Linked DNA regions of Anolis sagrei. The protein of the gene in region 1 interacts with the protein of each later gene in a biochemical or structural test. Links are inferred from orthologs where the notes say so. Each region holds a gene or a part of one and is shown on either strand. Other genes may lie near its edges. The genes, in order: TYRO3 and GAS6.

The links.
Region 2: the proteins of TYRO3 (region 1) and GAS6 form a complex in vitro, tested with the Homo sapiens proteins (2 studies listed by BioGRID). The link is inferred for Anolis sagrei from reciprocal best matches to the Homo sapiens genes TYRO3 and GAS6.

The regions. Positions count from the first base shown.
Region 1 is NC_090021.1:288,264,340-288,277,527, reverse strand, and holds the start of TYRO3 (tyrosine-protein kinase receptor TYRO3), read left to right. Parts: upstream 1-6,870; 5' UTR 6,871-7,262; coding exon 7,263-7,362; intron 7,363-13,188. UniProt on the Homo sapiens protein: Receptor tyrosine kinase that transduces signals from the extracellular matrix into the cytoplasm by binding to several ligands including TULP1 or GAS6. Regulates many physiological processes including cell survival, migration and differentiation.
Region 2 is NC_090023.1:108,204,846-108,217,092, forward strand, and holds the start of GAS6 (growth arrest-specific protein 6), read left to right. Parts: upstream 1-7,072; 5' UTR 7,073-7,192; coding exon 7,193-7,265; intron 7,266-8,178; coding exon 8,179-8,351; intron 8,352-12,247. UniProt on the Homo sapiens protein: Ligand for tyrosine-protein kinase receptors AXL, TYRO3 and MER whose signaling is implicated in cell growth and survival, cell adhesion and cell migration.

The DNA.
Region 1 (13,188 bases):
ATGATTGTTTGGCGGAACAGAGGCCAGAATGCCAGTCAGAGCCATTGGCTCAAGTACTCGCTGTACATCTCATTTCAAGATACATGATAGTTTGAATTACACAAGAAGTTGGAGTTACACAAGAAGTTTGACAACTGTTTTGAGAGTGATTTTGGGAATGAGATTTGGGGTGAATCTACACTGTAGAATTAATGCAGTTTGACACCACTTTAATAGCCATAGCTAAGAGCTAAGGAATCAGCATTCTTTGGTAGAGAAAGTTAAAGGTCTTGTAAACCTACAACTTTTGTCACTCCGTAGCATTTATTCATGGCAGTTTGTTGTGTCAAGCTGCATTAACTCTACAGTATGGATGCAATCTTACTGTGGAGAAGTCACAGGGAAGGCACCCTACATAGTCTTTACTCCTGATTTTCATTTCTGCTTTTCACACCAGACATCTCCAAACCACTTCTTCCCCTCATCTTTTGGATTTAAAATGTCTTTTGTTTCTCCATACACATCTTTGAAACCCCACAATAGGAGCAAAGGAAGTAGGTGGTATGTGTGTGTGTTTGAAAGTGAAGTAGTGGGATGGTAAAGTGTTCCTGCTTGTCTTTTTCCCTACCACTTCTGTAGTTCATACTGATCTTGAACTATGTGGGGAACTGCAGGGTACCTTAGAGAATGCATATTGCTGTATTTCCCTTAGGTTTAACTATCTTATGGGTGTTTCCTGTAATTTTCTTCAAATAGCAACAGAGTGAGCCATCATATAGGATAAAACAGGTAACTTCTCGCTGATTCCATTCCAACGGCAACACTGTTCTATATGTAGGTTTGGGTGCATCTGAATTAATGCAGTTTGACATCACTTTAGCTGCCATGGCTCAATGGAGTTTAGTTTTTCAAGGTCTCTTAAGCCTTCTCTCCCAAAGACTGTTAGTGCCTCACCAAACCACACATCCCAGCATTCCATAGCATTGAGCCATGGCAGTTAAAGTGGTATGAAATTGCATTAATTCTGCAGTGCAGATATACCCAGTTGGTATATAACATACATAGTATTCTACCTATAGGAAATTCCATACTGCTCACAAGAAACCATGACACAATTGACAGGGGGTTTCACCATGTAACCCAGTGTAGGTGAACTATACATCCCAGCAATTACAACTCCCAAATGTCAAGTCTATTTTCCCCAAACTCCACCAGTGTTTGCATTTGTGAATATTGAGCACTGATGCCAAGTTTGGTACAGATCCACCATTGTTTGAGTTCACAGTGGTCTCTGGATATAGGTGAACTACAGCTCCAAAACTCAAAATCAATGCCCACCAAATCCTTCCAGTATTTTCTGTTGGTCATAGGAATTCTGTGTGCCAAGTTGGGTTCAATTCCATTGGTGGAGTTCAGAATGTTTTTTGGTTGTAGGTGAACTATAGATCCCAGCAACTACAACTCCCAAATTACAAAACTAATCCCTCCAATACCGCCAGTATTCAAATTTGGGTGTATCAGGTATTTGTGCCAAATTTGGTCCAGTGAATGAAAATACATCATGCATCTCAGATATTTACATTACGATTCATAACAGTAGCAAAATCACAGTTATGAAGTAGCAACTAAAATAATTTTATGGTTGGGGGTCAACACAATATGAGGAACTATGTTAAGGTTGCAGCATTAGGAAGGTTGAGAACCACTAATGTAAGCAACAAATGCTATTTAACTAGTGAAAACAATCAGTAGTGGCATGTGTAGTTATCTGGGAGTTATAGAGTCAAAGTCCAGTTGTAAGTATGTATCACAACTGTTGTTTTCAGGTTTTTTTTAAGCACACATGCACTCAATCTTTTCAGGAACTCAGATAAGAGTATCTTAACATACCCACCCTTACCCTCTAGAAAGTGAAAATTGCAGGGTGGGGTTTTATGTAATAATAGTTAACCAGGATCCTATTACTAGAAAGGCGAAATCATAAGCTTTATATGTGAAGCAGTGAGAATTACAATGATGAAATCATAAGCTTCATACGCGAGGAAACTGGCAGCATCAAATGACAGCTTCCATGTCGGCAGGGCTGTGAACTTGCTTTGAGATTTAGCCCAAACTGTAAAGGAGGAAACTAAGCTGTTTTGTGTAAAATTACAACCAAAACCTGGAACGGTTTTACCAACCGCTGATATAGAAGCTCCCAGCCAACACGGAACTGGAAAATTCAGTATTCTTTATTCAGTTGTGTTTGTTTTTGATTATGTGGAAACAAATCCCATGGAATTGGAGAAAGCTTACTTTCAGCTATGTGCACATTGCAGAACAATTATACATCACAATGTTACTCAATTTATTTTAATCGTGTTTGTATAAAGCCTATAATCATTACAGGGAATAAATGAATCAGTTACTAGCACAGAGATAGGATCAAGAGACACTGGTGAGAAGAAGCCAAGGAGAAATGTTATCAGTGGATAGCTATCTGTCAATAAGGATAGGCAGGCACCAGAGTTAATCTAAGTAAGACAGCCCTTTTTGGGTAACTGATTTGGGATCAAGAACAGAAAATCGGTTTAATTATTACTGTATTTTTTATGAAAGGAAAGGTGTTTATAGGGTTTCTTGCCACAAATACCAACGTTTATTGGTTCAATTATGCACTTCAACAGAACAAGTGAAACACTCTTTGCTCTTCGGCCCCAGGCAGAAAAAATGTTTTGCGTAAGCCCTACATGTTAATGTATGCAAAGGTACATCTGTGTGTACTGGTGAGAGGGGGCGGGCATTATTATTCCTTTTTTTTCTAAGTGTGTTGTGTGTTTACCCATCACAGAAACATGGGGCAGGTATAATTTCTCATGCCTTGAATTTTGTGGTACCTCCATGTCTCCCAAATGCATTATGGTCCACGCTTTCATGGACAAAGTTGTGATTCCAGAGAAAGGCACGCCACTTATTTATTTATTTGCTGTATTTGTCTACTGCCTTTCTCAGCCCGTAGGCGACTCAAGGCGGTTAACAGGGCAAAATTCAATGCTTACAATGTCATAAATACAGTTAAAAACATAACATATAATAAAAACTAAACAAATCAATAAAATAAAAATGCAAAATGCCTCCTAACGCTGTCCAGACTCATTGTGTAGTTCCTATGTCAGTTACTCTGCATTTGCAAACACTTGTTCAAAAAGCCACATCTTGACTTTTTTCCGGAATGTTAAAAGGGAGGTGGCCGATCTAATATCTATAGGGAGGACATTCCACAGCTGAGGGGCTACCACCGAGAAGGCTCTGTCTCTTGTCTCCGCCAAACATACTTGTGACGAAGGCAGTAATGAGAGCAGGACATCCCCAGATGATCTTAAGGTCCTAGATGTGCTCCTTTGTGCTCCAACTTAATTAACTAATCCTGCTTCCAAGTGATGGGTTTGTGTCACAGCTTCTAGCTATAAGGTTATCGTGCAATTGAAGTACATGTTGTGTTATGCTGTTTATAAAATCACAGAATCCAATCCCGTTAAATGCAGTTCTTCAGCTAAAACACCCCCAGAAGCTAACCTTTTTTTAAAGCAGTGGTTCCCAACCTGTGGTCCATGGACCACCAATCATCTGCAAGAACTAAAATATGGTCAGTGGCCTCACCATTACTACACCGTTGCAAACAAGAGTGATGGTCTCACGAAACCCTTTTATAGTGCTGAGGCTTATTAAATCAGGTTTTCTATGTGCGAGTAGATGGCAACGACTGGATGGCATATGTTCTGTATCAGAAACTAAAGCTGATGTGGTATATCCCATGCAGCACTCCAAACAACCAAACTGAGTTTAAAGTTGATTAAAAACTGATTTGTAACCCTTTTGGTACTAATGTTGGAGAGTCGTCCCTCATCAAAGTGTTCCCTGGTCAAGTGGTCCCTGGTCAAAAAGGGTTGGGAACCACTGCTTTAAAGACATTCAGAGGAGATCCCATCACCTCCCCAAGCAATTGGCTACATTACTGAACCACTCTTACTGTCAATAAATTTCTGCTAATGTTCAATTGAAATTTACTGTCCTAACACCTTTCCAACCCTCTGGGTCAGCAGAGGACAAACTTGGACCCTTCTCTGTGTAATGACTTGAGGTATTTGAAGGGTGCAGTCAGTTCACTCCCCCCCCCCCCCACCCCCGGTCTTCTCTTCACCAAGCTAAAACTCAGCTCCTTCAACCTTTCCTCATATGTCTTTTTCTTCATATTTATTATTCTTGCTGCCCTTCTCTGAACCTGTTCCAGCATGTCTATGTCCTTCTTAATATGAGGCACAATTTTGCCTTAAGTTCCAACTGTTTTGATTCCAGTGACCAATTCCTCCTTATTCATTATCAACAAATCCAGGAATGACAAACATCATCTTCAAGGACCAACATTCAAGGACCAAGCAGGAATCCAGGAGACCAAAATTCAAATTCCAGTTCAACCATGGAAACCCAATAAACAAGTTTGAGCTACTCCACACTCTCTCAGCCTGAGAGAAAAGCAATGAAAAAACCCCCGAAGAATGAAATTTGCCAAGAAAATCAACTGATAAGGTCACCAAGAGTCAGAGCTGCCTTGAAGGCACAGAACAATGAGTCCATAGAACATTGTGGATCTTATTTTTGAAATAAAGAGTTGTGGCACTGTTAGATTTTTCAGAAAATTACCCATTTCTCCTCTTTTTTAATTCCATATTCTTCAGTATCTGTTGGTAGATCCCCACCATTACCAGGCCCTATATTTTATTGGACACGTAAAAGCCTTTTATGGAGCATAGTACCAAGGGAAGGGTGAGGATGAAAGAGTGTTTGTTGAGTAAAATGGTAAGATAATCTGCTGCCTGAAGGTATTCCCATGCAGTGCTATCTGAAATGTCAACTCTAGGGATGTGGCAGTATCTACCATTGCAATTCAGCTGAACACTAGCTTATAACGGGTAACGGATAGCAGTGTGGCATATGTATAACTCCTTTGTGCTCCAACAAAAGGCAATGGTTGTGGTGTCAGCACACAACACCACAGCCTGATGTCACTGCCGCCTCCTGAGCCAAGTATCTGCCACTTAAGGCATTGCTTCATTCTGCCTGATGGTGGAGCCAGCCCTTGTTCATGCAAGACTGCCTGTGCAGGGGGAAAAATGGGAGAAAGAAAAATGCTGAATGACAAAACTGTGTACGAAAGAGCCAAGGGCAAAAAGCTAGATCCTTACGCTCTAATATTCCTCTTGCAAAAGCCAAATAAGGCCCGCATGCTCCTGCAATGCATTTTGTGCAATTATTCCATGTGTATGAAGATTACAAGCCTGGTGTCAAACTACAGGAAAATAAATTCCAACTAAACATTAGGGAAAACTTCTTGACAGTAAGAGCTGTTCAGCAGTGGAATATGCTGCCATGGAGTGTGGTGGCGCCTCCTTCCCTGGAACAGAGAGAGACTATGTGCCTCCTCACCAGCCTTTGTCACACTATAGTATGAATCCACCCTCAGCAGACTGAAAGCCAAAACCAAGGTCACAACAACATCTGTTATAGAACTCCAATATGCTGATGATGTCGTCTGTGCGCATTCCGAAAAAGACCTACAAGCCTTCGCAGAAGCATACGAGAAGCTCGGCCTGTCATTGAACATTGAGAAAACCAAAGTGCTCTTCCAGCAGTCACCAGCCAATCCCTCTCCAATGCCAGAAATACAGCTTAATGGTGTAACATTAGAAAACGTTGACCATTTCTGCTACCTTGGCAGCCACCTCTCCACAAAAGTTAACGTTGACACTGAAATACAACACTGCGTGAGCTCTGCGACTGCAGCATTTTTCTGAATGAAGCACAGAGTGTTTGAGGACCGAAAAATCTGTAGGGATACCAAGGTGCTTGTTTATAAACCTATTGTCCTCCCAACCCTGCTATATGCCTGTGAGACATGGACTGTCAACAGATGTCACATGCAATTCCTAGAACTATTCTATCAGAGCTGCCTCTGAAAAATCCTGCAAATTACTTGGGAAGACAAGTGAGCAAATGTCAGCGTGCTGGAAGAAGCAAAGACCACCAGCATTCAAGTGATGGCTCTCCGCCATCAACTCCACTGGACCGGCCATGTTGTCTGGATGCCTGAGTACCATCTTCCAAAGCAGTTGCTCTACCCCGAGCTCAAGAATGGAAAATGGAATGTGGGTGGGCAGGAAAAGAGGTTTAAAGATGCATTCAAAGCCAACCTTAAAAACTCTGGCATAGACACTGAGAACTGGGAAGCCCTTGCCCTTGAGCGCTCCAGCTGGAGGTCAGCTGTGACGTTCAGTGCTGTAGAATTTGAAGAGGCAGGAATGGAGGGTGAATGAGAGAAACGGGCCAAGAGAAAGGTACATCAAGCCAAACCCAACCAGGACAGCTTTCCACCTCGAAACCGATGCCCTCACTGTGGGAGAACATGCAGATCAAGAATAGGGCTCCACAGTCACCTAGGGACCCACTGCCAGGACACCGATCTTAGAGGGCAATCCTACTCAGACAAGGAGGGATCGCCAAAGAAGGCTATCTTTATGTTTTATATTTGGGACTATTAAAACAGCCAGAAAGTAAGTGCTGTTTTAATTAAACTGTTTGATACAAACTGGGTGTTTGTTTGGTTCATCTCTACCTGAATAAGGCAGAGCCCTGGCATCCTGACACAAAACAACCCGGCCCCTCAAAAACTTCAGGCGAGGAGGGCCAAGGCATGGCGTGGAGGCAGAGGTGTCTATGAGGCTGCCAGTGATGTCACGAGGAGGCCTCCCAAAAGCGCCATTTCCCGAGGAGGAGGGAGGAGGAGGGAGGCAGGCGAGCGCCACGCCGCGCGTAAGAAGAGGAGGAGGAGGAGGAGGAGGAGGAGGAGGAGGGAAAGGGAGCCGAGTGGAGCCTTTGTACTGAAGGAAGGAGGCCGGCAGGGGGGGACCTTCCCGGCTCGGAAAGGGGAGAAGAGGCGGAGAAGAAGGAGGAGGAGGAGGAGGAGGAGGAGAACATCGGAGTCTCTCTCCGCTCGGCCACATCGGGTCCTTTCCTTCGAGGGCGTGTGGCGGAAAGAAAACCCTGCGCCTTGCTTGATCGCTCTCTCTCTCTCTCTTTCCACACACGGACAAATAGGGCTTTCTTTGGGGGCTCTCCTCCTCTCCCCCCCCCCCTTGCTTAAAGAAAGGAAATCTCCCTGTGTGTGTTTGTGTGTCCGCGAGGAGAGGAAGGCACCGGGCTGGGAGGTGAGCGGAGAGGATGGTGACAACGATGATGATGTGGAAGAAATGGAGATGAATCAGACTATGCAGATCCGGGGACTCCTGTTGCTCCTGCCGCCTCTGCTCGGGGCGCTGCTGCTTCGGCGGGACGTCGCCGCGGGGACAGGTAAGCAGCAAGGAGGAAGGAGAGCAGGAGGAGGAGGAGGAGGCGGGGACGGGCCCCACACCGACACCACACGGGGCCAGCAGCAGGGCCGGGCGCGGGTCGGGGCGCCCCTCGCCCCTTCCCTTCCCTCTGTCTTCCTTTCCCTCTTCCGCTTTGAAGGCGACTCAAGTTTGTCCCCGAAGGAGAGTTCCAAGGGCTCCTCGCTCAGTTCTTGCTCCGTCTGTGGGACAAACAGGGGGTGACACGCGTGATTTGTTTCCTGAGGAATGGACTTCCTCCCTCAGCCTTCTTCTTCCCATTTCCAATCACAGGCTGAATATCCCATATTCGAAATACACACACACTATATGTCTTTCTACCCTACTAACTATAGAAGCCATAACAATGTGTATTGAGGAATGGACTTCCTCCTTCAGCCCTCTTCTTCTGGCATTTCCTATCACAGGCTGAGAATCCCTTATTTGAAATACTTATATATCTCTATCTATCTATCTATCTATCTATCTATACAAACACTATATGTCTTTTTTATAAATAAAGTTTATTATTATTATTATTATTATTATTATTATTATTATCCTACTAACTATAAAAGCCATAACAATGTGTATTGAGGAATGGACTTCATCCGTCTGCTCTCTTCTGTGATTTCCTATGACAGGCTGAGTATTCCTTATTTGAAATATTTATACACACACACACACACACACACACACAGAGGCCCATAGCCAGGATTTTGATTTGCGGGGAGCTGAGTTTGATTGGGGGGGGGGGGGTGAGTCTGAGAAAAAGAGGGTCTACCCTAGCAAACCTTTTGTATCGTTACCCCAATACCCCCATGCATATGGGATATGATATGAATAAACATAACCCTTTAAATAATGTACCAGCAAGGCCTTCTCGCAGACCACCCTGAGAATTTCAGGGGGGGGGGGCTGAAGCCCCTCAAGCCCCCCCCCCCCCAGCTACATGCCTGCACACATATATGTCTTTATACCCTACTAACTATAAAAGCCATAACAATGTGTATGAACTGAAACCAAACTCCTACAAACATTACAATATATCTGGCCAGGGGCCCCAAGTCTATACATACATACATTTATATTTACACATATATGTGTGTGTGTTGAGGAATGGACTGCCTTCTTCTGCTCTCTTCTTCTGTGATTTCCTATCACAGGCTGAGTATTCCTTATTCGAAATGCTTACATACACACAATGTGTCTTTATATCCTACTAACTATAAAAGCTGTAACAATGTATATAAACTGAAACCAGACATATTTAAACATTACAATATATCTGGCGAGGGGCTCCAAGTCTATACATAAATACATTTGTTTGCACACATGTATATGTGTGTATTGAGGAATGGACTTTCTCCTTCAACCTCCTTCTTCAACCTCCTTCTATCACAGGTTGAATATTCCTTCTTCGAAATGCTTATAAATATATTATATATACACACAGAGGCACACTATACATCTCTATATGCTACTAACTATAAAAGCCATCACAATGTGTATTGAGGAATGGACTTCCTCCTTCAGCCCTCTTCTTCTGGCATTTCCTATCACAGGCTGAACATTCCTTATTCAAAATACACATACACACACTATATGTCTTTAGACCCTACTAACTATAAAAGCCATAACAATGTATACTGAGGAATGGACTTCCTCCTTCTGCTCTCTTGTTCTGTGATTTCCTATCACAGGCTGATTATCCCTTATTCGAAATGCTTATACACACACACTATATGTCTTGATACATTGCTAACTATAAAAGCCGTAACAATCTGTACGAACTGAAACCAAACACATACAAACATAACAATATATCTGGCGAGGGCCCCCAGGTTTATACATCAAATTTGTTTATGTTTTGTATACATTTTTATTTGCATGTGTGTGTGTGCATTATTGTATGTATGTATCTGTAATAATAATAATAATAATAATAATAATAATAATAATAATAATAAATTTATTTATGGGTTGCTGTGAGTTTTCCAGGCTGTATAGCCATGTTCCAGCAGCACTCTCTCCTGATGTTTCTCCTGCATCTATGGCAGGCATCCTCAGAGTTTGTGACCTCACAACATCAGAAGAGAATGCTACTGGAACATGACCATACAGCTCAGAAAACTCACAACAGCCCAGTGATTCCGGCCATGAAAACCTTTGACAATATCTTTATTTATATCCCGCCTCATCTCCCTAGGCAGGCATGGGTAAACTTGTGCTCTCCAGATGGTTTGGACTCCAACTCCCATCATTCCTAACAGCCCCAGACCCCTTCCTTTTCCCCCTCAGCCACTTAAGCTGTTAGGAATGGTGGAAGTTAGAATCCAAAACACCTGGAGAGCCAAAGTTTGCCCATGCCTGCCCTAGAAGGACTCCAGGCGGCTTATGAAATAACAACAATACAAACAGGACTACACCACAGGGCAGGGCACAGCTAGTAAAATATAAAAACAGTAATAACCCAATCAGTATAAGGTACACCAAAAAGATAAAACATAACAAGGAATTTAACATGAAACCACATCTATACACACACACACCCAGTGTGATATCTTGGAAGTGCAATCTGAGTCTAAACATGAGACTTGTTTATGTTTCATATACATTTGTATATGTGTGTGTGTGTGTATGGAACCCCCAGTGGTACAGCGGGTTAAACTGCTGAGCTGCTGAACTTGCTGACCGAAAGGTTGGTGGTTCAAATCCGGGGAGCAGGGTGAGCTCCCACTGTTAGGCTCAGTTTCTGCCAACCTAGTAGTTCAAAAACATGCAAATGTGAGTAGATCAATAGGTACTGCTTCGGCAGGAAGGTAACAGTGCTCCATGCAGTCATGCCAACTGCATGATCTTGGGAGATGTCTACAGACAACACTGGCTCTTTGGCTTAGAAATGGAAATGAGCAGCACCCCCCGGAGTCGGACACAACTTGATTTAATGTCAGGGGAAACCTTTATCTATAAACACACAGACACGTACTGTGTGATATCTTCAAGGTGGGACCAAGTCTGAACATGACTTTGATTTCTTTCATATACATTTACATTTGCATATATATGAACCTACCGTGTCCTATCTTGGGCATGAAATTCACTTACGTTTCCCATACATCTACTACGTATGAGGAAATTTTATACACAATTTTAATTTTGTGCATGAAATCATGTCGCTGCCCATTAGACTACCAGAAAGCAACTACTATGGCATATAGGATCCATGCAGAGAATTCTGGAGTATTTTGGACTTCTGAATAAAGGTTACAAACATTCCAATTGCTGTGTTGTCAAAGGCTTTCATGGCCAGAATCACTGGGTTGCTGTGAGTTTTCCGGGCTATATGGCCATGCTATTGACAATTGACATCTTATGAAGGGAGGGTTGCTGCTATTTTAAGTTCAGTTGTTACCCCACCCCAATACACACACACACATTCACACACACATTCACACACACACTTCTTGGTGAGATGCTGGCCTAAATCTTTTCTTGCTTGCTAATCGTAGCGGGAGTAAGTTACAAAACTTAATTATAAAAAACATGTTCCCTTCCTTTAGAAAAAAACCCCCCTTCAGTTCAATGTTATGAGTGGTTTGAGGACAATTTTATCATTTAATCCCTCACTTCTGGTAATATATATCTAGAATCGAGACAATAGTTGCTCGGAACTGTGCCCTCTAAATAGAAGTCTTTCCTCTCCTCTACTTATTTGATTCTGGGCAAATCGCATGGCCTCAGAAAACCCTGTACTAGGGTCGCTGTAGGGTTTCTGTAAATCAGAAATGGCTGGAAGACACAGGACAACAACAAACTTATTCGCAGCTCTATGGTTCTGCAGCTATGAATGTACAGTCACGACTTTGCTGCCGTAGTAACATGTGGTCCTTCTCATCTCAAGTAGCTTATTGATTGAATGCACTGTTCCGTTTTTTTAAGCAGAGTTTCTAGCACAATTATGCTCTCATGAGTTTATTCTAAACCCCTCCATAGGTAGATCCCTTGCTTTTTCAGAAATCCTCAGTGAGGAAATGGATAGATTTCTCTATGCTTAGCAAACTATAACATGAAGGAGTAGGTCAACAGTTTCTTAAATAGTCAGGCAAGTAACTGATGGCCAGGTATGTTTAGATTTCTGTTCCAGCAACATGTGGAGTCCAAAGGTTCCCTGTCTCCACTCTAAAGCCTTTATTTGACTGCTATGAGATGTCATATATTTGTTTTTAAGAGCTCACCATTTAAAGCAGCACCATCTGAAATAACGAGAACCACTGGAAATATTTTGATGCTGGTGTTTGCTTTGCAGCCAGCATTTTAAATACTGTATTTAAGACCTTCAGCAGTTGTATTTGTTTTCATATTCAAATAGTGACCTCTAGTCTTATATGTGGGAAGGGTCTCCATAATTTGTGGTTACATCCAATACATTTGTGAAAAATGAATTAATACCCCTTTAGAGTCTAAAAAATATTCTTATTGCTTTTAATTGTTATGTATCAGGCATGGGCAAACTTTGGCCCTCCAGGCATTTTGGACTTCAATTCCCACAATTCCTAACAGCCGGCAGGCTGTTAGGAATTGTGGGAGTTGAAGTCCAAAACACCTGGAGGGCCAAAGTTTGCCCATGCCTGTTCTAGATTGATGTTATTGTTTGGCGTCCTAAGAGGATAGATTATAAATACTTAATTTAAAAAAAAAAAAAACAATGAGTTTTTTAAAGCAGTGGTAAACATACTGCTGAACTAGTATGTTCTAGCATGGTCTATAGAAGATTATAAAAACACACATGAACACATGTTCCTATACCGTTTTATGTATTGATTTAATGTTTTGGGAATAACTATTCCAAAATGGTAATGACAATTACAAAACACAGCAGTTCTTTCTGTGTTCTGCATTTTCAAAATTGTTGACATTTATTTCCCCCCTCTAATTTGATATAATGATATAATTTGATATGATGATATAATTTTGAGTACAATTTTTATTAAGTCAAGTGGGGCTAAATTTCTCAATAAATATAAATAAGGATGAACTGCCAGATCCTTTTCTATAAGTACCCTCCAATTTCCTCTCCGGTAGATAAGATTTAGTTGGAAAAAAATGGAAGGTTACCTAACACTTTGCATGCAAGCTATAAATGTTCATAAGGAGAATTTTTTAAAAAAAATGAAAATACAATGGTATATTACCACAAGGCTCAATTTGTAAATATCCTGGTTCATAATACAGGAACCAACTCATGTTGTTTTGAAGGTGATGGTTAAGTAAGTTGCTGAGCTCAGTTTGACTTGAAGACAAAACCTGTTGCATTCACAGCTCCAAGATCTGCTGACCATTGTTTGTTTGTGCTGCAATGATCAATTTCCCTATGATGGTACTGGAGTGGAAGTTGCTATTTCTAAATAAGTGATACCGGGAGACAAAGGTGTTATATTCAGGTCATAGATGGGATTGAATTGCCTGTATTTCCAGCAAGGTGCATAATATGGGTGAATAGGTGAAAGTTGAAGCCAGTATTGGGTTACATTTTTAGCAGAAGGTAATGAGAAAGACATCAGCAGATGGAAAAGAAGAGACAAGAAGGAGAAGGTTAAAATAAAGCCCTGTCTCACTGCTGCAATTCTCTGAAAATTGGGCGTCCCTGTATAGAGCTCCCACCCTATCTGGTTCTATAAAGTCTTTGAAAAAAATGGGACATAATAATGAATTGTCTGTGGTTTGTTCTGGATAGGAGCCCCCGGTGGAGCAGTGGGCTAAACCACTGAGGTGCTGAACATGCTTCCTGAAAGGTTGCAGGTTCAAA
Region 2 (12,247 bases), on another chromosome or scaffold:
CAGAGGGAATAAACAGTCCTTTTAAACAGTCTTTAAAATATGCTTCATGCCTTAGAAATGATCAGGCTTCAGAGAGTTGGCAGCCATTTCCTTCCTGGCTGTTTCCAGTCAGCACTCTCTTCACTCTCCAAAATGAAAGTGGCAGTTAAAACTGTTTTGTCTCAGCAGCAAGCCAGAGACAGTAGCCAATCAGAATTCTGGCTCCTGGCATGCTCAGCCAATCAACTGCCAACACATGTCTTTCCAGTCAACCCATCACATCATGGTGCCTTTTTACAAATCCCCACAGAAATAACTTTGTGTACATGGATCCACTTTATTAGTTATTCTGGGTATCAGGATTGCAACCAAAACCATTGTAAATATTGACTGGAATGTTTCCATTTGACTTTGAGTAGTACATTATATTTATGACTTGTTCCACAATACTTCCATGCTTAGAATTATAACATTTAATATCTTCCTTGCACCAATTTAATCAAGATGGGGGCGGGGGGGGGGAGTGCAAGAGACCTATTCCTTGGTTCTCATGAATACTCTGAAATTCAGAATAACTTTGTAATCATTGCCTGAATGAGGTGCACAAGATTGTCTCCTGGTTGATTTTAAAAGCTATTTTTGTAATGTCAAATATGACCTCCAATTAAAGGAAATCACACTGAGAATTAACTAAGGCACATACTGTGGGGACAAAACAGTTCAGCACTTCCTGTCTTTGAGAACCATGCGCCATTTCCTGGCACCTGGGTGGGAAATGCAATTACAAAACTAAAGCAGCGAGTCCCAGATTGGAATGTTTCTAAAGCATATTTTGATACATTCCCAGACTGTACTGTATTGGGTTTTTCTCCCTCAAAAACAAAAACACTGCTTCTTTGTTTTGTTTTCAAGAAGCTTTCCATTATATGTTTTACCATTACGATAAATGTTTCAAATATTCTGCTATTGCTGTTAAAAAGCATTTCCCTTTATAAAATAATTTATCTGTCAACAATTTACACTCATGTGTCATTTGGTTGTTTCTGGCTGACCTAGTACAAGCCTGGACCAGCTACAGATGTTTGTTATCTAATAGATAATATTTATAAATGTATTATTATCCAAATGATTTTCAAATAAATATGCACCCAAGCCCTATATAGAACTCAGGGGGAAAAGGGGGTGGGGGAAGTAACCATGGGATATTCTAGGAGATGTGGGTCCAAAATTAATCTTTTCAAGTTCTGATTCCTTTTGAGTTTACTTGAAAGTAGTCATATGGCTGTAGCACCAAATTGGAACAATATGTCTTGACGGACAAACCTAGGTTGAGGATTCTTTAATATCCAGTTAGATTACTGCAGTGCCCTCAGTATGGGAAATGCCCTTGATAGTGTTGGAAACTGCAGCAAGAGCAAAGTACTGGGTTGCTGTGAGTTTTATGGGCTGTATGGCCATGTTTCAGAAGCATTCTCTCCTGACATTTTGCCCACATCTATGACAGGCATCCTCAGAGGTTGTGAGGTCTCTTGGAAACTAGGCAAATGAGGATGTCCAAGGTGGGAGAAAGAACTCTTGTCTGTTTGATGCAGGTGTGAATGTTGCAATTAGTCACCTTGATTAGCATTGAATGTCCTTGCAGCTTCAAAGCCTGGCTGCTTACTGCCTGGAAGCATCCTTTGTTGGGAGGTGATTAGCTGGCCCAGATTGTTTCTTCTCTAGATTTCCCCTGCTTTTTAGTGTTGTTCTTCATTTACTGTCCTGATTTTGGAGTTTTTTAAATACTGGTAGCCAGATTTTTGTCCATTTTTATGGTTTCTTCCTTTCTGTTGAAATGGTCCACATTGCTTGTGGATTTCAATGGCTTCTCTGTGTGGCCTGACATGGTGGTTGTTAGAGTGGTTCAGCATTTCTGTGTTCTCTAATAACATGCTGCGTCCAGGTTGGTTCATCAGGTGCTCTGCTACGGTTGAAGTAGTCTGCAGTGCCTTTCATGTTCCTTGATCTGTGTTTGGGCAATGCTGCGTTTGGTGGTCTCTATGCAGATTTGTCCACAGCTGCATGGTATATAGTAGACTCCTGCAGAGTTGAGAGGATCCCTCTTGTCCTTTGCTTGAACATTTGCTGGATTTTCTTAGCGGGTCTGTAGATAGTTTGTAAGTTGTGTTTCTTCATCAGCTTCCCTACATGATCTGTGGTTCCCTTGATGTATGGTAAGAAAGAACACTTTTCCTCCGGGGGTGGGGATGTTTGTCTTGCAGCTCTTTGGATGTCTGTGGTGAAACATTCATTGGCCTGTAGAGCCCAATTTAGGTGGTTCAGTTCACCTTGGAGGAGGTGAAACAGAGAGCAAAATATGCAGCAGCCTGACTCATATCAGTTATATACAAGTATAGTAATCAAATAACATTGATCTTACATGGACTGCAGGGGCTTCCAATTTGCTTCTGACTTCAATTTAAAGTACTGGCTTTAACCTACAGAGCCCTGAAAGGGTTGTGGGCCACAATAATAGATCTGCTATCTCCTTCCCTCTGAGCCTCCCAAAAATTTGAGATCTTTGTGAAGTTAGGTTGGTGAGTACAAGTGACAGGGCCTTCTTCTAGTGCCAGAGGCTTAACTCCTATTGTAATACCAAACAACACTGGAAGGAATAGAGAAGAAAGGATTACCTGAGGAAGGTGTACCCACAACAAACGCCAAAACAAGGAAATACTACCCGGGATACCTTGTAGTAACCTCTTAGAACTCTTTTCTGACATTACGACAACTCTTCATGTAACAAACGGTTCTTGAAGTAAATTAAAATTGACTTTTTGAACTATTAGACAGATCTTGTCAGTATAATTGACTTCTAAATTGCCTATTAAGAGGAGATTTATGTATCCCAATTATGTATATACTTACCTGCAATAGAGATACATTTAAGATTTGTATTTGAATTTGTATATATTTTTAAACTGACTACATTACAGCATATTTGATATTTCTATAATAACAATAACATACTATTTCCTGTATACTCCATGGTATATGATGTCCCACCCCTTGTGGACTGGCTTGATACAGCTTCCAAGGTATGCAATAGTCTTTTTTAATGCATGGTCCAACATAGGTGGCTAATTCCCAAGTGAGTAAATGCTATATTCAAGTAACTAAAATCCACGAAAGGAAGTTCTCAAATCTGAAGCAGCTGGAGGGAAAGGAAGACACACAAAGGCACACCCGTAAATAAATCCCTAATGCCAGAGGGCAAGCATTTCCAGCACCTAAGACAAACAGCTCAATGGCTCAAAAAGAATTTGGAACATAAACAACAGCCCCATTGCCATAGGCTGGCTTTGGGCACATCTACACTGACAATTTAATGCAGCTTCAAGCTGACACCAAGATGTGGTGGCTAGAAAATGCATGCCGCCAAAGCATGCTTCAGTACAAATTAAAGTCTATTTATTTATTATTAACTTCATTTATATACTGCTTGGAGGGACGGTTTCCAACATATTCACAACAAAATTCAAGTCCTTAGAAAACATGAACAACGTAACATAAAACAACAGTAACATAAAACTATCAATTAAATCATAAAATGTAACTACATTTAAACATTAAAACAAGGGATTAAAAACATATTAATATAAACATTAAAATCACATGATTCAAAAGCATGGTCCAGGCCGTTCCAGTATCAAATTTTATTTATTTATTTATTTATTTATTTCCGTCACTTTTACCCCGCCCTTCTCACCCCCAAGGGGGGACTCAGGGCGGCTTACAGAGAAAGGCACAATTCGATGCCTTGTCACATATACATACATATATAAAAACAATTAAGCAATTACAAATTAAATCATCAATACACAGCAACACCATAAACACAGTAGTAGGCTAATCCTGAGCTCAGCGTTCGGAGTAACAATTGCACATACTCCATGTTTGTTTCTTATCCTGCATGCTTGGTTCCACCACCATGTTTTTGCTTTTTCCCCCCTGAAGGCCAAGAGGGAGGGCGCTGATCTAATTTCGTTGAGGAGAGCGTTCCGTAGACAAGAAGCCACCACTGAGAAGGCCCTGTCTTTCATCCCCACCAGTTTAAAATGCATTAGGTCCAAGGTAAATTCCTTAATGTGCTTAAGCAAGCATTACATCTAAATAACATTATATGGAGAAAACAGCTCTATGGAATGCAAAGTACATTGTAGGTACTGGTCTGCATGGAAGCATACTTAAAATAAGGATGCATCAAGGGCATAGCTGGGTGGCTGAGGGCTAATTAAACTATTGGGACAGGTAATTGATTACCTCCACTTTCCCTTCCCATCTGCTTTTTATGCCTCCAGAGCGCTGGTGTTATAATTCCTTCAAAGTCATGCCATAAGTGCAAACATGGGACATAATATTGTGGGCTCTAGAGGAGACCATTGGTCCAAAATGTTTGGCTAGGAGGAAGCAATAAAAAACTGCTATTAATTAGAACAGATGAGTGAAAGTAAATTGAACCTCTTAAAATTGATAGACATTAGAACAAAGGATTGAGATGTATGATTGATGAACTAATAACTAATTGGGATGATATTCTTTCCTGAACGAGAGTTTACAGGCAGGACTTTATAAAGCTGGTGCTCAGTTCTGAAAAGGAAAGCAATACCTTGATTGTTTTTTGCTTTTTGTTGTTTGTTAAGCAATAAAGCACTCTCTGCAGGGTAGACTGGGTTGCTGTGAGTTTTCCGGTCTGTATGGCCATGTCCCAGAAGCATTGTCTCCTGAAATTTTGCCGAATCAGTTGCCTGAGAGAAGGGCTAACAGTGGGATCACTTGGGAACGTCGCATAAGTAGCTGGAGACCAGATCAGTTAGGTGCTAGAAGCAACATTTTTTTCCCTGTGTTAGGAGCGACTTGAGAAACTCCCAAGTCGCTTCTGCTGTGAGAGAATTGGCAGTTTGCAAGGACGTTGCCCAGGGGACACTCAAATGTATTGCCATTCTATGGGAGGTTTCTCTCATGTCCCCGAACGGGGAGCTGGAGTTGACAGACAGGAGCTCACCCCGCTCCCCAGATTCAAACCTTTCTGTCAGCAGCCCTGCTGGCACAAGGATTTAACCTATTGTGCCACCAGGGACTCCTGCAATTAAGAACTGATGCCATTCAACTGGAGGGACCCAGGCAGTTGGCTGTGAGGAGGGCCAAGATTGGGATCACTTGGGAAAGTGGTGTAAGTAGCTGGAGACTGGGTCAGTTAGGTGCTGGAAGCAACATTAGTGAAACTGTTACAGCCTGTATCTCTGGAGGTGTGCCTTAAGTTAGGTGTGTGGAATAGGTTTTGGCTTGCAACCTAGTTGTTGGTGAGATGACTTAGCTTTGACCATTTTGGAAAGGACTTTTTGAATTCTTCTTGTCTCACCCTCTCAGACTGCTTTGGACTGAAACGAGTTCTGTCTCCCATCCTGGACATTCCACAGATATATACTGTGTTCCCTCGCTACTTTGCTTTTTGCGAACTCGCTGTTTTGCGGTTTTTCAATAAATATGAATTAAAATATTTATTGAAATTATTTTAAATATTCTCCCTCGCAACTTCCTTTCCTTCTCACTTGCAACTTCCATGCACCCTCTCAGCCCTGAGGCTCACCCATTACCTGTGAGGACCCCCATGTGGATTTGGTAGTCGTGGTTGGTTAAAATTATTCCCTCTGATGCCATGTTTCCCGGCACAGACATTGCACTGACAGGGAGGCGGGTGGGGGGAGCCGCGGGGTGGGGGAAGGAGGAAGAGGGAGAAGGTGTGTGAGCAAGAAAGGAGGAGGGGAAGGAGAGGAGGAGCCAGCAGGAAGTGTGGTGTGCAAAGGGAGGGAGAAAGGGAGGGGAAAGAGGAGATAAAAGAGAAGGCAAAGTGATTGAGTGAGAGAGAGAGGGGAGGGGGGAGAGAGGAGTGGGCGGAGCCACACCTAGGAGGGGCTGGTCTAAAAGTTGCTGCTCGACTAAAGTGACTGAAGGATTTTGTTTCTAAGGTAAAGGAAAAGTGTTCTGTAGTGTATAAATGTGTGGGGAGGGTTTATAAAGACTTAAAATTGTGTATAACTACTGAATTAATGTATACAGTGTTCCCTCGCTACTTTGCGGTTCACTTTTAACGGACTCACTAATTTGCGGTTTTAATTAATATTTTTTTAAATCCGTGAAACAGCGAGTCTGCTAAAAGCGAACCACGAAGTAGTGAGGGAACACTGTATACATAATTTCAGTAGTTACACACAATTTTAAGTCTTTATAAACCCTCCCCACACACTTATACACTATGGTATTTTTGCTGTTTCGCAGGTTTTTGCTGCTGCCGCTCTCCGAAGCACTTTCCCTCCTCAGTCCTCCCTCCCTCCAGCCTCGAAGGGCTTTTCCTTCACTTTATTTTACATTTATAAAGACTTAAAATAGGGTATAACTATTAAAATAATGTATAAATATTAACATAAATATAGTGTCCTACATCGTGGTTTTTCACTTTTTCAGGAGGTCCTGGAACGTAACCCTCGCAATAAGTGAGGGAACACTGTAAATATTAAAATAAATATAGCGTCCCTACTTCACAGATTTTCACTTTTCGCGGGTGGTCCTGGAACGTAACCCTCGCAATAAGTGAGGGAACACGGTAAATATTAAAATAAATATAGCATCCCTACTTTGCAGATTTTCACTTATCGCGGGTGATCCTGGAACATAACACCCACGATAAGTGAGGGAACACTAGAAACCCAAGTTTCCTAGTTTCCTTCAGACCTCACAACCTCTGAAGATGCCTGCCATAGATGCAGGCGAAACGTCAGGAGAGAATGCTTCTAGAGCATGGCCATATAGCCCCAAAAATAACCCAGTTGACCAGTAATTTGGTGGCCAGCCTGGCCCTGGAAACCTACTGGGTGAGAGTGGGCGAGTCCCACTCTCTCAGCCTCAGAGGGAGGCAAAGGGAACTCACAAAGGAGGGCAACGTCCCTCCAGGATAAAGCCAGCCCTCCAGTCTCCTTGATCTCTGCCCAGTGGAGGGAGGGAGGGAGGGAGGGCGCCCTTTCTTTCTCCTTCCCCGCTGCTCTCGGCTGAGTCCCGCAGTGTGGGCGCTCCCTCCTCCTCCTCCTCCTCCTCCTCTTCTCCTGCCTCCTCCTCCTCTGCCAGGAAGCCCGGCTCCTCTCAGAGGGCGCAGACCCAGCTCCAGCCTCTCGGCATCATGCAGCCCTCTCCGCCGGCTCCCGCGGCTGCTGCCCTGCTGCTGGTCCTGCTGGCCACCGACTCCTCGCAGAGTGAGTAGCAGCCTCGCCACGGCCGGAGGGAGCCCGGCGGGCCGCCCTTGCCTTGCCTTGCCTTGCCTTTCCCCTCCTTCCCCCCTCCACCGCCATTCTCTCCTTGGAGGATAACCCCGCTCCCACTCCCACCTTCCTCCCCTTTGTGGACCGAGAGACATCTTCTTTGACACTCCACGCAGCCTCTTGCGTGGAGAGCGAGAGAAGCCTCCCGTGTGCCTGTAAACTGCCTTTCCTTCAAGGTCAGGGCATCCTCCCTTCAGCCCTGTCTCTCAAGCTCAGGGTGGCTTATTCGCGAAGACTTTCTCTCTCTCTCTCTCTCTCTCTCTCTCCCCCCCCCCCCCCTTCCTTCTTGCGCCTTTCCGCTCCGAAGGAGCTTTCAGGGTCGGCTTGACCATTTGCCCTTAAATAAAGGGGTGCGCTTTCTCTCAGGAGAAAGGCTCAGAACCCCATCCATCCCCCCCCCCCCGTACTCTCCTCTTGCGCCCTTCCGCTCTAATTGGGCTCGAAGGGTCGGCTGTACCATTTCCCCTCCCAAAAGGTGACCTCAGTGGGGAAAAGGGGCGCGGGGATGTCATTGTGAGGGCAATGCTGGGCTTGAGGGACGTTTCTTGGGGGTCCCTGAGGGGGGAAAGAGCGCTGAGTGGGGAAGAAGGAAGGAAGGAAGCCCCAAGTGCCCAAGGAGGACTTTGAATGTAAACAATGACCCCGACAAGGAAGGGCGCGCTTGACCTCTGGGGAAGTGCGAGGCCGGCTCCCCTCCGCTCTTTGTTCCATTCGAGTTGGACCGCGGAAGGAAGGAGGGAGGGAGCGAGGAAGGGGAAGGGGCTCCCAAAGTGGCCGCCTTGCATTGAAAGAGCCCTTCGCTCCCCTTTTCTCTCCTCTCCTGCCCTGTTTCCTGGGGGTCTCGCAGCGACCTCGGTGCTGAGGGACCGGGCGGAGGCGTCCCAGTTCCTGCGCCAGAGGCCCCGCCGCGCCTACCAGATCTTCGAGGAGACCAAGCAGGGCCACCTGGAGCGCGAGTGCGTGGAGGAGCTCTGCAACAAGGAGGAGGCCCGGGAGGTCTTCGAGAACGACCCCGAGACGGTGAGAGCCAGGGCGGGAGGCAGGGCATGCACCTGACAGACAGGGAATGCACCTCCACAGCGCTTTGCCTCAATCCTATGCAACCATGGGAGTTGATGTCATTTCACATCAGGAGTTCTTCACCTTTCCCCCACCCTCTCCTTGCCAGTCAGGTGGAAACCACTGACTCCTCCTCAGAATGCAGTGGCAGATAGTTTTCTTTCACTCAACACCTGCATGTTCATGAACAAACTTGGGCCCTCCTGGTGTTTTGGACTCAACTCCCACAATTCCAATGGGATTTTGGCCCGCATCAATAGGGGTCTAGTGTCTAGATCCAGGGAAGTCATACTACCCCTCTATTCTGCCTTGGACAGACCACATCTGGAATACTGTGTCCAGTTCTGGGCACCGCAGTTTAAGGGGGATGTTCACAAGCTGGAATGTATCCAGAGAAGGGTGACTAAAATGATCAAGGATCTGGAGAACAAGCCCTATGAGGAGCGGCTTAAAGAGCTGGGCATGTTTAGCCTGCAGAAGAGAAGGCTGAGAGGAGACATGATGAGGGCCATGTATAAATATGTGAGGGGAAGTCATAGGGAGGAGGGAGCAGGCTTGTTTTCTGCTGCCCTGGAAATTAGGATGTGGAACAAAGGCTTCAAACTACAGGAGAGGAGATTCCACCTGAACATTAGGAAGAACTTCCTAACTGTGAGAGCTGTTCAGCAGTCGAACTCCCTGCCCCAAACTGTGGTGGAGGCTCTTTCTTTGGAGGCTTTTATCAGAGGCTAGATGGCCATCTGTCGGGGGTGCTTTGAATACCATTTTCCTGCTTCTTGGCAGGGGTTGGACAGGATGGCACACAAAGTCTCTTCCAACTCCATTATTCTATAATTCCTAACAGCAGGTAGGCTGTTAGGAATTGTGGGAGTTGAATTCCAAAACAACTGGAGGGCCCAGGTTTGCTCATGCCTGATTTAAATCCTTCAAAATTAAGTTTTACAACTTGCTCACAATTTCAATACTTGGCAGCCAAATGCAGAGCAATTTCTGTTCAGATAGTCATTTTCAACAAGCATTTAGAAATTCAAGTTTTCCCTCAAAACCCTCTCCACCAGCTTTACCAACCTTTTTGTATCCAGCTATGCATTGCACACAGAATGTGCTGCATCAAAATAAAAATAATCCTCAATCCACACTATACTATACACTATACATGGTTGGGTCAAAAAGTTTTGCCTCCCGTGTCATAAAAATATTTTGAATGAACATAGAACAGCAGAAGTCACTATAGATCATAGCCTGAACTATCTTCTACTCAAAACTATCGTTCAACATAGTCTCCTTCAGTTAGTACACATTTGCACCATTGTTTAAACCAGGCATCAAAACCGTTTTGGAAAAAAATCAGGGTTTTTCTTCCTGACCCATGATTGTAAAGCTGTTTGAATGTCATTCAGGTCATTGAATTTGAAACCATGTAGGTTGTTTTTCAGAGGTCGCACATTGCTGATGTCCATTACATCATCCCCATAAACATCCTTCAAGCAGTTACGGATTTCCTTAGGTTCACAACCTTCTTTTGCCAGAAATTAAATGACTCTTTTAGCTTCAGATTCATAGTTCTAATCAGTCAATTGGAAAAAGAAAAGACTGTATCCGTAGAGTAAGGTTACCTCTATCATATCATGCTTAGATAGTCCTGTAGCTGTGAAAGAAATAAAAGTTAAAGTAATGGAGGCATTACTTGTTGACCCATCCTCATATATTTGCATTCAGTTTATCTCTCTCTGTGTGTATATGTATGTATGTGATGGGCAATGCCAAGTCCTGCAGAGGCAGGAGGAGGAGGAGAAGGAATGAGGCCGCCAGCTGCTTGCACAGCTGGGGAAGTTGTTTGGAGGAGGTGGAGCTCTTGAGATAAATATCTCCAACCGCAGAGGGTTAACCAGCACTTCATTTAACAGGATTGGATTTGGATTGCCAGTCCAAGAAAGGAAGAGTAGCAAAAGGCAAAGGTGGGAGGAGGGGTTGTTTACATTGAACTAAGTATTAATCTTCAACACAGGAGTCAGGTTTTTTTTTTAAAAATGCCTTTGAAAAGACAAATCCTAGTGCAAGCCAGAATTGAGTTGCTGGAATTTCCCAGCATGGGGTGGGGAGAAGCGGGAGGAGGACTTGGTTTGTACAGCATAGCATTTAATAAGGATGGGGGTGCGGAGATGTCTTTATTTTCCACCTCTTTACATCTTCTCCCTCACCACTTAAATATTTAAAGTCTTTGCAAGTGTAAAGATTTTGCTGATGTTAGCTGCTGAAAACAGCTGACATAATTTAGGCAAGCAATCAAAAGTCTTGTTTTGGATTAGGGGAATTTGGTGCTATTTTTGGATAAATATTTGGTTGGAGGTAAAATGTATGCAGTTAATAAATTGATCATTAGGTAGAATGAATCTGAGGTGGTTAGAAGTCAAGGCTGTTTAGTGCTGAAACTCTGAATAACCTAGAAGGTACTTAAATTTTAAATAATTCATTAGCAAACTTGTATTAGCCTTTGGTGCTCAAATTGTCTGACTTCGCTGTTGTGTTCTTTCAAGTTATTTCTGATTGTAACAACCCCAAGTAAAATACATTGTGGAGTTTCCTTTGCAGGCATTGTTCAGAGTGGATTTGCCCTTGCAGTGGTTCCCAGCCTTTGGTCCTCCAGGTGTTTTGGACTTCAACTCCCAGAAATCCAAGCCAGCTTACCAGCTGTTAGGCATTGTGGGAGCTGAAGTCCTAAACACCTGGAGGACCAAAGGTTGGGAACCGCTGCAAGATGTATAGAGAGTGTGACCTGTCCAAAGTCATCTAGTGTGCTTCTGAGCAGTAATTAAACCTGGTTTCCCAGTGTCTTAGTTCAAGACTCAAACCATTACATCACATTTCCTCTCATGAGTGTCTGGTACTTCAACATATATGTATATTTCTATTTCAGTGATTGCTTGAGTGTTATTTCTGATTTGCTTGCATCTTTTTGATGTGCTGTTTTAAACAGGCTCTTTTATTGCAGGGATTATCTGGCATTAGTTTAGGGGAAATTTTCCTGGAGGAGAAATTGACTGGTGATTCTGCATAGAGCTGCACGTTCCCGTTAATGATTTGATGGGGTGCTGGCTGGTAGAATGAGTGCTATTTAGGTCAAAAGTACTGGGAACAGGAGGGACTTGGCTCCCTTATGTTAGAAGAGCAAATGTTTTGTATTCAAAGCAAAACATGTCATGTCATGTATACTTTTAATAAGCTTACAACACAGCCCTGTCAGAGCACAAGGAAATGTTGCAAAACAATAAGAATCAACAGCAAAAGCATTCTTATTGTGGAATTTATTTTGAACTTTTGAAAATAGACTCCAAGTTGGGTTGAAGCAGAAAGAGACAGGTTCTAGTATACGTTGTTTTTATCTCTGCTGTATAAAAGAATACGTTAAATAGATGAGCATACATATTAAACTCGTTGCTGCCATAAATTACCTTTTCTAATATTTGTAGTCCTAACTTATTTTTTAATATTACTGTTAATGCCATATTTAGTTGATTAAAAATCTCAATGCAATCCAGGTATACAACTTTGCTGCAGTAATTCGTAATAGAGTTTGTGTTGTTGAGCGCCTTCAAGTTGATTCCAATTTATGGTGACCCTATAGTAAGCATATTATAGAATTCAGCTACTAAAAACACTCCCAGGCGGGACTTCTTGTTGTTATTCTGATGTAGGGCCCTTCTACACAGCCATATAACCCAAAATATCAAGGCAGATAATCCACAATATCTGCTTTGAACACCACCATATAATCCAGTTCAATGTGGATTTTATACAGCTGTGTGGAAGGGGCCCTAGTGATCCTATCTCAGGGTTTTCTTGGAAGGATTAGTTGC